Linked DNA regions of Nothobranchius furzeri. The protein of the gene in region 1 interacts with the protein of each later gene in a biochemical or structural test. Links are inferred from orthologs where the notes say so. Each region holds a gene or a part of one and is shown on either strand. Other genes may lie near its edges.

Region 1 (4,791 bases):
CTCTCTGAGTCAAAGTGTCTTTCTGTCTGTTGTGTTTGTTTTTAAACCGGCTGCTGTTCAGCTTGGTTCCAGTTTAGATCATTTCACTTTGCTTTTCAAGTGTTCTGGATCTCTAGGAAGATAACAGGATTTTAGACTGACCTTTAGTGAGTTTGTTAGTTAGTTTTAATTTTATTTCTGCCCAAACTTTGTTGTGCCACAGGATTTTTCAAATGTGTTTTGCTGGGGAAAATGTAAGTAAGTTAAAGACAAATTCGTCAGATACTAAATTTAAGTGAGAATTAGAATGAGAAAATGTGAATTTCTCAACATTTGTTAGTTTTTTTTATCTATATCTCACAGAAATGTTTTCAGTTTAGAAATGATTAGAATTAAAACCAGTAATATTTAATTGGAAACAATGCAATCAAATAAACACAGTTCAGACTGAAACTTCAGCAAAAGATCTTTTTACTAAATGGTTGTCAAAAAGATACATTGCAGTTACAGAAAATATCATAAATAAAGTACTAAAGGTTTTAACAGTAATTCAATACAATTGTAACTGTTTTTCACTTCAAACTTCATTAGTTATTTAAATGACACCTGCAGGTGGCAGCATTGTATTGATGTAAAAGGAGCTTTTGTCCAACACATTTGTAGTCACTGCTAAAAATCTCATCAGTAAAAAACAAACTTGAGGCTCAGCCTTAGAGATCAGGCGAAGGGTTCCATCATCCACGTAATGCTGGAGAAGAGCTCCTGCTCCTCACTGAGAGAAGGCAGCAGACGTGGTTTGGGCTGTATACACTATCCAGGAATAGATCCAGAACTTGTTGGAGTATCCATATATCCTCTGGGACCTTGGGGATAAACTGAAATCCAGCACAAAGCCTTACTATAAAAAAAGGCAAGGCTCAAATTTGAGTGATTGAGATTTGACTCGCGTTGTTGCAAAATAAAATAATGATCAAACCCAGGTGGTATGCAGAAAATGAGGAGCTTGATCAAAGGTAAAGCGATATTGTGTTACATTACTTTGCAATAATTAATGTGTGATGGCATGTGAGCAAATCAAATGTTGGTCAGATTATTGTAAAGCATCAGAAAATTATATAAGAGCGTCTCTGTCATTTGAAACAAGTGGCAGCATGCTTTTGGGAGGGGATTTGTTTCAAAATGGAGGAAATATGCAGAATAAGATGCAAACACTTGATCAGTCTGCATCAAACCAGGTGATGTAGTCTAATGGGTTCACTAAAGATGTGCAGCTCAGCTCAGTGGTCAGTTTGGAGGAAGTGGTGAGATCATAGGGAGATCTACTCTTACATATTGGAAAAGTGAAGTAGTTTTCTATCGTCAACAAATGGTCATGTCTTAAGAATTTTCTCCTTGAATTGTTTTATGTGGAAGAAGACAGAGAAAGCAAAATTTCTAATATTTAAATGTAAAGTTTCTTAAAAAAACAAATAGGAAAATTTCCTATTAATTCTGCTAAAACTTAATGTCCATAGTAATATAACCATAATTAAAAGTTAAAAAACTAATTTTTTTACTAAACAGTGTAAGAAAATAACATGAAATAGATCATTAAAAGTAATTAATTATTCTAAATAAAAATGTCTTTAAAAAGACTGAAAGTTTAAGGTTTTCAGGTTATTAGTGTTTCATTCAACTGTTGTTTAAAGTTTTTAATATTCTCTCAGCTAAGTCCCTCGAGCGCTTTTCTACCCGAGGGAAAACAAACTAGATGATTATTTAAGTATGTAAATAAGATAACACCTCTCTTTCACTGCCCATGTTGTTTTGTGTGTAGTGTGTGAGTGCTCGTGCGTGTGTTTGCGACTGTGTGAATGTGTATGTATTTGTGTGCGCGCGCTCGGGGCTGGATTTCGGGTTAAATATTCAAAATGGCGGACGGAGGAGCAGCGAGTCAAGATGAGAGTTCAGCACCAGGTAATGATTACAGCATTTTACATATTCATACTCATATTCAAACTGCGTTACATACAATTTATAATAACAATAGTGATGAAACGCGGAGGGAGCTGGAAATGAGGAGGATAAGGGGCGATGTTTGAGTTTACACACAAATGTAGTTTGACAAGAGGGAGGAAACGAGCTGTTGCAGTGCGACGGTAAAATACATGGAAACATGCCTCCCCCTTTGTGTGATTAGACGGATGTACGCCGCTACATATTCATACATCTGCCGACAAATACAACTTAGCATATTTTATTAGTAATCGCCGTCGTGACACTTGTTCATGCGGAACGCTTATATATTATTTTCTGAAGGCAGTTTGATTGAAATGAGCATGCTAGCTTGGTTAGCTCGGGTGCTAACGCTTGGCTTTGTGTTGATGCACACTGGGGCTTTTTTCTCAGAGCTTTGCATATTCATATTTCACCGGCCGGGTAGTGGCCGCCACTCGTTTGTTCTTCTTTTTCTACTGATAATATTCTAAACAACAAGCACGGCTTTTGTCAAACACCGTGTCAGGTTGGTGTTGCTCAGCTCGACGTGATTTTTTTTTACGGGAGAGCATTTTGCCTTCGGTCTTTTGTGCTCGGCGCAGGAGAGCCACAGCAGCCTGTTGTTATTCATGCAGGCCTCCCTCAACCAGAGTGCGGAGTTCAGCATATTCCACCATCATAAATACCACACTATTATAACACACGAGTAGCGTTTGTTTGATCTAATGAAAGACGTTCAGTTAGCTTCAACTGAATCCGATACTTTCGGTTCATTTTACATGATTCACTTAATCTACAGTTTGTGCTGCTTACGATTGTAATAGTCTTTCTCGCCGCTCTTAGAACAGAAGTTGGATCGAGCCTTTTATTAAGTGATAGCTTTCTGGCTTCGATTTATTTTGCCTGGCGAATTTCAACATATAATTAATCTGTTCCTGACAAACACCGTGTGTACGTTATTCCCCTTTTTGTGGTCGAAGTTCGTTGAGTTCAAAGCCTGTACCTGTGTATCCCCCTCAGGCAAAGGGTGGGGTGGTGAGGCCCACTTCCGGAAGGCAACAGTAATAACAAGCAGAAGGTTTTTTTTTCTGTTCTTATTCTTAACTAGTTTCATGAACAGACAAGTCCCAACACGAACAGAACATTTTTACTACATGTAGTTAACGTTTCTGGCTTACTCTAAACAAACCAGTCAGATGTGGTAACATTAGTGGATTATTCTATGCATAGATTCGAATAGACTTTATTAATCCCACAGTGAGGAAATTCATATGGACTGGACATCCCTTTAAAAAAGGCTTGGTTTGTTGCAGCTAACAAAATATTAGGTGGTATGTTATTAAATATACTAATAAATGAGAGTCAAACAAATTTTAAACAAGATTAAAATATGATTAAAGGAGTTTTTATTGTTCCAGATTTAGGTGCATGTGTCATGAAAACACAAACAGTTTATGTAGCTGATTAACAATTGTCATTGTTGTTTTGTAAAAGTATTTGGTGTTTTACTGACTACTCAGGATCACATCTGAAAGCTGCTTTTGTTTTTTCCTAAAACATGTTCATTCCCAAAACCTGCTTAAATTTGTTTTTATACAGAAGGCAAAGATAAACTTTGACAATTTTAAGAAAAACATACAAATGCATGTACAATTTATATTATTTCATGAGGGAAGTGTCCAATTTTTCAAAAATTAAGTCTTTTTGTTAGCATCTTTCAGATGTTAGAATATTTGCAGATTTGTGTGTGGGGGGGGGGGCTGATTTATTACACTGAGCTTCTCAAGAATGTGAAATAATTCTGTCTTCCTCAAACTGAAGCTACTTTTCTCATTTAATCAGTTTTACAGTTCCACCCTCATTCTAGCCTTGTAGTTTCATCATGAATATTCATTAATGTAAACACAGTTGTTATGAATAATGCAACACTTGCTGTAATAAATTCAGGACATGCCATCTCAAAGTACTGAGAGGACCTGCATGCAGGCTTCACTCAGACAAGCTGCAGCTTATTTTTTCCCCTTTTGCTTTGGATGAAGAAATTTTTACATAATCAGTTTTGTTGTTTCCTCAGGACTTAAAGAGGAAGTAATGTCTAAATTAACTTTTTTTTGCTGATGAACTGTATAAATGTGTGTAGTAGTGTTTTAAATGTGTGTATTCATTATTTCAGCATTTTGGTGCATTTTCTTTAAAAATTAAAAATTCTGCCTAAATACCACAGTATAGCGCCACCTTCAGCTTAAAACATAGAGTTTGAGTCATTTTGAATACACTTTAGCCAACGGCTAAAGAGTAAGATACTACGTAAACCAGTAGAGTACTACGTAGCAGCTCTGTGTCAAAGTTATAAAGCATAGAGAGTCTCGGCCACGCTTTGTGGCGAGTTGGGAGTTTGATTTGCAAGCGAGTGTAGGAGGTTAGCTGTAGTTCAGCATTAGCATATAGCATTAGCATATCCTAGTCTTTAGCATAGCTTTTAGTGTTATACATACTTATTTAGTGTTAGTTTGGCTGTTGGATATTGTAGTTTAGTTAGTGTTTGGCTGTTAGTGTAATTAGGAAAGTAGTTCGGGTTTAGTGCTCCATATCGTGTTAGTAAGGTGAGACGGTGTAGTGTAGTGTGGTTGCGGTGGCTCTGTGGAGTTGGACTCCTTTCCGCTGGACTTAGAAGTTAGGCGCCAGTGGTTGCGCGCAATCGGTGTCTGGAAAACAGTCAGCTCCCGACTGGTGCTGTAGTTTGCAACCATTATTTTACCCGCGATTCTGCACGTCTCCTTTTGAAGAGAGAGGGCTGTGCCCACCGTGGCTCTTCTGCGATTTAGATGCAGCCCA
Region 2 (4,611 bases), on another chromosome or scaffold:
TGCTACTGAACTTGTAAGTAATAATATTTGTCCAACAGTGTGGATCTTTTTACGTTGTGGCTTATTTTATTATTAGTTTGCTTATGTTAGTGTTAGCTTGTTGTTAGCACTAGCTACAGCAAACTACAGCGGATTTGTTCACGGCAGTTGTGATTCCACTTTCAACCATTAGGGCGAAGGACCTGGAAACTGCTCACTGTAACTTTAACAACCTTTGTTAGTCATTTTCTGAGAACTTTAGGCAAGTTTTATGGGATTCCAGATCTTAACATACTCAAAATGTGACACAAAAAGGTGTCACACCAGAATATCACCCTCATGTGACTGATGGTGAATATTGTGAACAGGGAATTTCAAAAATGTCCAAGAACAGTTGCGGAAGTTCAAAAAGTCCTTGTGTGAGTTGCAGGGCACTGGTGTTAATTAATGCAGCGTTATTCCTCATTTAAAAAGTCAGAGTAAGCGGTGGACCCCGTCTGGAACACTTCTCAGTTTAGTGTAGTAAGACAATTTGTGACTTCATTACAAAACAGTTGTGCAACTGTCACAGGTGAGTCATGCTCCCCATGACTCAGATGAAACTTATTAGAAAAGTGTCGCCATTTTTGCAGAATTCCAACATATTTGTTCACAGTTTCTATTATTTTTGTGTCCAAAACTGGTTCTTTATAGTCTAAACAACGTTAAAAATCCAGGGGTGATCATAGTTTTGAGAATGAGACAGTCATTGTGCAGTTTACTGTGATTTACATGCTTTTAAATAAAAAGATAGATTTGACAAGACTATAAATGTTATTAAACAAATGACTATTGTAAGAAGAGAAAGTAGGCTTGGTGTTGATACATTTGGTTAAAGCAATGGAACAAATGAGAAATCAATATTAACAGACTAAATGTATTTTCTCTTGTGATTTTTTTTGGCATCTCTCACTGTTGATTTCACTGACACACTGTCATGATCATCCCTCTAATGCTGGGATGGAAGGACACACTCTCCTTCCAATGTCATCCATTTGGTCTTTATTGCTTGATGTCAGTGTGTGTGTGTTTGTGTGTGTGTGTGTGCGTGCGTGCGTGCGTGCGTGCGTGTGTGTGTGTGTGTGTGTGTGTGTGCACGTGCAGGGAGGGGGCAATAGTTGATGGTGGGACCACATCAGCACAAAGTACACATGCAGTACAGAGCATCAGCTGCCAAAAGCCAGGTGTCGTCATCACGGCCAACAACCAATCTATAACTGTAAAATGTGCTCGCTGTCATCTCAAAAAGATGCATGTCAGGATTTCTAATGGAGTACGACATTAGATAATTACTCTGAGTAAGCGGATAATCAATAAATCCAAGGACTTTAAGGGTGTCCTTGAAGAACCAAAGGAACATTCTGCTTTTGCTGGTGTGATTTCAAACATAAATGATCACTTAAAGACTCAAAGAGAATACCACTAAAGATCTGTCACATGTGGAAAAGGGGTTCAGATTTACACCGACCATTAAAGACTGTTAGATTAAAGCTTTCCAGTCTGTTTATGCTGTCATGGGCAGTTCTAGTGCACGTTCAGGCAGCATGAAACTCTAATCATTCTCATTACAGATACACAATACAATGCACCTGCAATAACAGCCTGCCAGTGTGTGCAGCATTGGCGGTTTAGCGTATTTCTGGGAAGCCACATAAAGGGTGTTGTGGCGGGAGTGTCAGTGAGCAGAGCCTGTAACTGAAGAAAGCTGCCCAGTGCCTCAGGAGGTCCCTGAGAATCTCCCTGATGCAGCTGGTGATGTGTGTCAAGGTGTAACATGATGCTCTTATGAAGAAAGGCAGCAGACACAATACTGGGGGAGGGTATGGGGGGACAAGGGTCTCCTGTGTTCACTTTAGCAAACTTACAGTAGCAGTCAGTGTTAATGATTTACAGCATGGTGAGTGTGCCTGTGTTTAAGCTGGGGAGTCAATGGGCCGTCAATGGGCCAATTAGTGCAAATTAGATCTGACCTCAGATTAAACACCTGGATCTTCCTGACTTTGATGTGCCGGAAGCTTCAAATGAACATAAACTGACATTTGTGCAAAATAAGCTTTAGCTGAACATAAAATGTGCCATTTCTTGCACAATGATCCATGCAACGCTTTGCTCAACAACGTCATCCATAAAACATGGTCCAGATGTAAACTTTGAGCTAAGTGCAGAGGTCACATGTGAGGTTACCGGCACCTATCAATGGTTACACCGACGTTATTAAAGTGGTCTCTTATATTATATATTAGGAACACGTCTTATGAGAAAGCTAAGTCCTTCCAGATTTAGGTCAAAATAGAGTATTAAGTTCATTTTCTCAGAAATGGTAAGTTCAAAAGAAGTTTAGGTGCTGGTTAAAAATGGAATGTGTTCATTTTTTATGATCTAAAGCGACCAAACAAACAAAAATAGGCCCACATTTAAAGTAGTTTGTTTTGTAACGTTTAGAAGTTGAAACGAACGCGAGTCTGAGCTCTTATCAGAGTTGTCATCAGCTCACTCAGTTGCTTCAGGAATTAAACCTAACTTTGACTTATCTGGGTCTTTTCTTTCTCAGATAAACGATAAAACACAAAGTTTTATCAGTTAGCAACATTTAAAGAGATGTATAAAAGCGCGTGAGCAGCTCCAAACATGTGGGTGAGCCGCACGCGCTGTCAAAACAGAAACAAAAGAATTACGCGGCGCGAGAGCAACTAAATCCGTTTACAAACACCTCAGCGAGGCTTTGTCATAAAACAAACAAACTTACCCAATGACAGGAACGGTTTGGTTTCCATGTCGGAGTCGTCGGTTAGCTCATGCCAGCTGAGGCGAGCGTGTTCGGGAGTTTTCTCCCACACAAGCGGCAGCTCGAGCTCCGCGAGCCGGACCGGGACGCTGCTGCTGCTGCTTCTCCTTTCTTCTTCCACTGCTGCTGTGAGCGGCAGAAGAAGTGGCAGGTCGATGTGTGACCGTATCAGAAGATAACCTAACGTTTCTGCCTCTGTTTGCGCACTCAGCTGCTCGCAGCTCAGTGACGCGCTCCGGTTGTACAACAACTCCAACTACTGGAACGGCTCAGCAAAAGAGGGACCTGCGCAGGCAGGGGGTACTCCCACCGACGAGCTCCGGGCTGCAGCGACGCGGCGCAAACAATAAAAAAAAAAAAAAAAAAAAAAAAAAAAAAACGATGAGACCTTGGGTACGCAACATGTGGAATCCTCGAGAAGGACTAGAAGAAACGCGCAGTTTTTCGCCAGTTGGAGGTTTTCTGCACCACACCAGCTGAGCGGCAGCTACCTATTCATTTCTTATCTCCTGTTATTCTGACCTGGTCACATGTGCTGAACCAGGAGTGTTGGCTCAGCACAGATTTTTCTACTCCCTTTCCTTTAAATTTGAGTCTAATTCACAGAAAAAAGTCAGAAACTTACGTTTATTTTTGTCTTTTACTGATAAAAGTGCCTCAATAACAGAGCATTGCAATTAAAACATGATTTAAAAAACCAACAGTAACAGATTACTAAAACAAGACATTTTAATCAGAAAGTCTAAATGACTCCAGACTGCTGAAACAGTGTTGTTTATTCCATAATTGAGGTGCAACAGACTGGAAAGAGTGATCCCATCCAGTTTTATATCTGGACTTTGGAATTACTGGTGGATCTCTGGATCAACAATCATGTGTTCAGTCTTGAGTTTAAATAAATATTGGAGGCACATTCATAGCAAATATCTTTGTACGAAAAATGAAAAAGGGGTTTAGGAATGTTACCGTTAGGAATGGGCTGGTAAACAGTTTAATGAAAAACCAGTCCCTCTGACCACAGCAACAGGTGGGGAGGGTGAACTGCCTTAGATCAGGTTAGGAGTTTGCCCTGTAATTAATAGGGTGCTGGTTCAAACCCAGGCTCTGTCAGTGCCAGTTGTGTTCTTGGGCAAAGACACTTCCCCTTCCCTGCTCCAGGGCAGCTGTTGCTTCAATGTAGCTCATCACTATCGCTGTGTGAGTGAATGAATGATTCCATGTAGTGTAAAGCGCTTTGGAGTCCTCTGACTCAGAAAGATGCAGGCCATTCATCAACCCCTGGTTACTACCAGGCACACAGTCCCAGAAATGCATTTGCAGGAGCTGTGTGACACGACAGGAAGGGACGAGCCGCCGTGGTCGTGGGGAACACATTTCCATTATGATCCACGCTGCTTAGATGTTAAATGTTGTATGGTTGATGTGGAAACTGATTACTTTAGAGCTACAAGCGGCACAGGCAAATACCCTCCAAAAGAAATCACCAGAAAAGGAATCTAAAGAACAGTAAAACAACTTTTTAGAAACATTATGTTTTATTTGTAGATGGAGTTTCTGTCACTTTCATGACCCCAATGACTCTGTGACCAGTTTGAAAGTTGTAAACATTTTCAAAATGTTTTGAGACATTTTGGAAACTCCTCTTCAAAGGCCATTCTCAGTCTGTTGCAGTTGTTGCAGCCCCATTAAGATACTGACTTAAACAGTTCTAAACACAACCGTTTACACAAGTCACAACTCTGTGTGCACCTGGTCTCCTCTAACATGGCAGGTTTTACATTTTCCATGTCCGGTCTCACTCAGGGCCG
Region 3 (4,823 bases), on another chromosome or scaffold:
ACCTCGAAGGAGGATGTTTATCCAGGTCACACCTTGGCTGACAGAGAAGACGAAGGTGTGCGACGGTCCAGTCCAGAGTTGACCTCGGTACACGTTGCTGAAGCGTTTCCGCAGATGCGCTTTCTCATGTTTAAATGAACTCAGAAATCAAAAGACTCTGGGACGAGTCTGCGTTAGCGGGTTGCATTCAGCTATTCTGTCTGGCTTGACAGAAATAGCGTGGTGGGAGAAAAGGAGCCTGCCGGGCTCCTTTCCCCGTGGCGTTCGTTCCGCACTCCTGCTCTCATCCAAACTTACTGACTCCTTACCGAAACCTCTTCTCTTCCCAAAGCAAACTTGTGCGTCAGAGCAAATGTGTTTTGAAGTTACTGTGGATACGGACCTGTATGAGCAGGTGTGAAGGTCATTGCTAAACATCTTCAAAAACATTATTTAATTAAGTATACTGATTCATTATAGTTCATTATGATTACCCAAAGCATAATAATCATTCATTTGATTAAAATACATTTATAATGAGCAAAGTGATCAAATGATTATTTAACATTAATACACAAAGAAAGCTTAAGACTCCGTTTTATTATGACTAGGCTGTGTGTGAAGTCCTTCTTCTGGAGATGCAGGTGTTGGATGTTGTGGAGTCCTTCAGACTTGCTGGCGGCTTAGGTCTTAATCTGTGGGTGAAGGTGCTGCATGGCCCAGCTTTGACCCAGCCGGGCAAATACGACCTTTGGCACAGAAAGGTCGTATTTGAACAGGTGTCCAGACCCACCCTAAAAGTCCTGTCTGTGATGAAGTCATCTGATTAAAATGCTGAGTTGTGCAGACTCACAGACTCCTGACAAGGGAAGATACAGCAGAACATGTAGTAGCCAGGGTTATTTGCTCTGGCTGCATATGACCTGTGGGATCTTTAAAATCGGTTCATTTCGTGACGTTACAACTAGATAACCTAATTAATTTACTAATTTATTCAAAAAGTGATTGTAGTCAGTTAAAAGCTAAGCTAAAAAGAAGGGTTTTGAGCCTGTTTCTAAAAACATGAACGTTCTCTGCGGCCCTGAGGTCCCCTGGCAGCTTGTTCCAGAAGCGAGGACCGTAGTACTGGAAGGACGCCTCGCCGTGAATATGAGTCCTGACTTTAGGGATGACAAGGACACGGCTGCCAGAGGAGCGCAGAGACAGCGTGGGTTTATACGGTAAAAGCAGTTCTGAAAGATGAGAAGGCCCAAGACCATTAAGACACTTAAAAACCGTTAAAAGTATTTTAAAATCGATACTTAAACATACGGGGAGTCAATGCAGTCGTTCTAAAACTGGAGTGATGTGCTCCCGCCACCTGGTCTTCATCAGGACAGGCACTACTGAGTTTTGTAATAGTTGTAGACCTGAAATCCTCTTTTTAGGAAGACCAGAAAGCAGGGCATTGCAGTAGTCTATGCTACTGGTGATAAAAACATGCATCCGCATCTCCGTATTGGCTCGAAAGAGAATGGGGCGGACTCTGGCGATGTTCTTTAGATGATAAAAACCTATTTTGGTGATATTTTAATATGATGGATAAAATTAGGCTAAGAGTAAAACGTGACACTCAGGTTCTTCACTTGTGAAGATGGATTAAAAGACAGTGATTGGAATTTTGGTAAAAGCTTCTCTCTCTGGGCCTCAGGACCGATAACTAAAGCTTCAGTTTTGTCCTGGCTGAGCTGGAGAAAGTTTTCTGCCATCCAGGATTTGATGTCTAAAATGCAGTTAAACAGTGCATCCATTGACTGTGTGTCATCAGGGGACACAGAGATGCACAGCTGTGTATCATCAGCGTAACTGTGGAAATTCACCCCTTGTCTCCTGATGACACTGCCAAGAGGGAGCATATAAAGGTTAAAAAGCACTGGGCCTAAAATTGAACCCTGGGGCACACCACATGTAATCCCATGAGCCCTAGAGGAACAGGTGTCCAGACTCACCATAAAAGTCCTGTCTGTGAGGTAGAAAGTGAACCATTGGTGAACAGCACGAGAGGCCGATCCATTTCAAACGAGTTAAAAGAATAGTGTGGTCTACTGTATCAAAGGCAGCACTTAGATCCAGTAGAACCAACACAGTCACCCTCCGGGCATCATAATTTACACTAAAATCATTTAAAATCTTCAGAAGGGCCGTCTCGGTGCTGTGGTTCACCCTAAAACCAGACTGAAAATTTTCAAAGACATTATGGGTGTTGATAAAATCATTAAGTCGAATTAAAACAAGCTTTTCTAAAATTTTCCTTAAAAATGGTAAGTTGGATACCGGTCGATAATTGTTTCAGTCATTAAAATCTAAATTGCTTTTCTTCAGCAGGGGCCTCACCACCGCCCATTTAAAAGCGGCAGGAAAGACCCCCCGTCTGAAGGGAGCAATTCATCATAGTTAAAACCTCATCTCTAAAAGAATCATAAAATTGTTTAAAAAAAAACAGTGGGTCCACGACACATGTGGTGGGCCTCACTGAGGAGAAAACTTTATCAAGACTCTCAGCTTCAACCAGAACAAAACTGTCCAGTGTTTCCTCAGGTAGACACACACTCTCAGATGTGTCTAAAACCACGTTACGTTGGGAGGGTAAAATGTTGCATCTGATGGTGTCTACCTTCCCTCTAAAGTGGGCTGCAAACTCCTCACAGAGGGGGTTTTAGGGGGTTTTATGAGTTGAATTTAAGTTGGAGTTGAGAATATTATTAATTTTGGAGAAAATAATTTTAGGGTTACTTTTATTGTCTGAGAGAATTTTGGCAAAGTATGCGTTTCTTGAATTTCTTACGGCATTTTTGTATGATTTAAGTAGTTCTGAATATATCTGATGGTTTATTGTTAATTTGTTTTTCCTTCATCTCCTCTCCGCCACTCTGCAGTTTCTCTTTAGTTTTTTTGGGTTTCATTTCTCCAAGGTGATGTATGATTTGACTGTAAGTTTTTGGTTTTGAGTGGAGCAAGCAAGTTAAGAGCTGACTCAAGTCTTCTGTTAAAATCATTGATAATGGCATCACCAGGGGCGGAGACGTTAGTTGGAGGGATATTGTTAAAAGCTTCAAGAAAACCAGCAGCCATGTCAGGGCTTAGATGACGCTTCTTTACAGTTCTCACAGAGGGCCCCCACTGGATAATGCTGGTGATGTTAAAAAATACGCAATAGTGATTGGATACTGCCAAGTCGACAACAGAGGACACACCAGTGGACACATACGTGATGACCAGGTCCAGGGTGTGTCCTCTGTCGTGAGTTGGCTGCGTGACATGTTGGGTAAAATCCATATACCGTAATTTCCGGACTATAGAGCGCACCTCAATATAAGCCGCACCAAGCTAAAAGCTGCAGATATCTATTGAATTGAAAACGTAGTTTAACTGAATGTAACTGAACTGATCAGCATCAAACAAAACAGAAAAGTTATTGATTAGTTTATTCATCGTCCTCCTGCGCACTGAAACCACTGAAGTTATCTTCTTCAGTGTCGGAGTTGAACAGCCTCACAAGAGCTTTGTCACATACCTTTTCTGTGTCGATGTCTGTGTTACTTTCATCATCCCAGGGTGAAGCTGGGAAAACAAGCATTGCTGTTTTACTGTGAAAAAAACCCTCCTGTGCGATTTCCGTAGCACTCCTTTAACCATTCCTTCATTAGACTTTCCAGCATCCATCCTTTCTGGTTGACTAAAGCTGCACCTCATTATAAGCTGCATGGTTCAAAGCGTGGGAAAAAGTAGCGGCTTATAGTCTGGAAAATATGGTAATTCAAGAAGTTTAAAAAAATCTGTGGCTAAAGGGTCTAAAAGGTTATACATGTGCAGATTAAAATCTCCAGCTAAAATAATCCCATCAAAGGAGTTGGGTAAAACTGATAAAAACTCTTGAATAAAAGGTGCACTCTATTTAGGAGGCCTGTAAACAGTGACACATAAAATCTGAAGAATGCTAAAAGCGGCTGCAGTACATTACAGACAGCGAACATTAAAAAGAGTCATATTGACAGATGCTGGAGGTAGAGTGGCTGTGTGATTTATTGAACTTGAGGTGTTTGGTTGCTGTTTAAGGTTATTGAAGTTGGGTTTGCTAGATTTACGATTGATTGGTCGCTCTCTGCTGATAATGACAGGTATGTGGTTGGTTTGGCAGGGTCCAAGTCCGATATGTGAGTTAATGTTCAAATCAAGGCTGGGTTTGTAGGTACTTGAACCAGGGGGGCATCACGCCGGGGACACACTGGCCGCGGAAGCACCGCGAAAATGGGACCGCCTTCATTCGGCGCCCTTGTTAAGCTATTCTATAGACCACATGGGCCGCCGAAGCGCCACGAATCGCCTCGCGCCGGCGCTCCAGCCCGCGCCGTGCAGCGGTCATTTCAGCGTTGGCTCTATTTTTTACGCGAGCCGCGGGTGAATCACGTGAATTCTGGCAGGAAGTCAAACGTAGACATAAGAGGCAGGCCGGTAAAGTTAACAAAATAAAGCATTTCAAAATAAAATTCCGCAATAGTCAAATGTGTTCTTAAACAGACACTGCAGAAAAACCAAACGAACACGCACACACATACACACACATCGAACTTGTGTGCGTGTGTGACCACGTGAAGGGGGGTGTGGTTTTGGGTGTCTTTTCACCGGAGCAAACAGGACAGAGAGGCAGAAAGTCTGAGGCAAGCAGTTAGGATGGATGACTTTAATTTGATGCAACCTTCTGTGATTGGCTGGCAATTGGCCTAAAGGGTGGTTTTCCCAAGCCCCATTGAGTTTGCAGTCCCAGACTCCTCTTGATGTTGTACATCTCCAAGCTTTGAATCATC

What was found.
Region 2: the proteins of pou2f1b (region 1) and rxraa form a complex in vitro, tested with the Homo sapiens proteins (2 studies listed by BioGRID). The link is inferred for Nothobranchius furzeri from reciprocal best matches to the Homo sapiens genes POU2F1 and RXRA.
Region 3: the proteins of pou2f1b (region 1) and POU domain class 2-associating factor 1 are reported together in a solved structure, tested with the Homo sapiens proteins (2 studies listed by BioGRID, with this or other methods). The link is inferred for Nothobranchius furzeri from reciprocal best matches to the Homo sapiens genes POU2F1 and POU2AF1.

What each region holds. Positions count from the first base shown.
Region 1 is NC_091754.1:25,720,320-25,725,110, forward strand, and holds the start of pou2f1b (POU domain, class 2, transcription factor 1b), read left to right. Parts: upstream 1-1,747; 5' UTR 1,748-1,889; coding exon 1,890-1,935; intron 1,936-4,791. UniProt on the Homo sapiens protein: Transcription factor that binds to the octamer motif (5'-ATTTGCAT-3') and activates the promoters of the genes for some small nuclear RNAs (snRNA) and of genes such as those for histone H2B and immunoglobulins.
Region 2 is NC_091746.1:41,868,223-41,872,833, forward strand, and holds the start of rxraa (retinoic acid receptor RXR-alpha-A), read right to left. Parts: upstream 3,058-4,611; 5' UTR 2,793-3,057; coding exon 2,765-2,792; intron 1-2,764. UniProt on the Homo sapiens protein: Receptor for retinoic acid that acts as a transcription factor.
Region 3 is NC_091753.1:21,177,872-21,182,694, forward strand, and holds the start of POU domain class 2-associating factor 1, read left to right. Parts: upstream 1-1,717; 5' UTR 1,718-4,823. UniProt on the Homo sapiens protein: Transcriptional coactivator that specifically associates with either POU2F1/OCT1 or POU2F2/OCT2. It boosts the POU2F1/OCT1 mediated promoter activity and to a lesser extent, that of POU2F2/OCT2. It recognizes the POU domains of POU2F1/OCT1 and POU2F2/OCT2.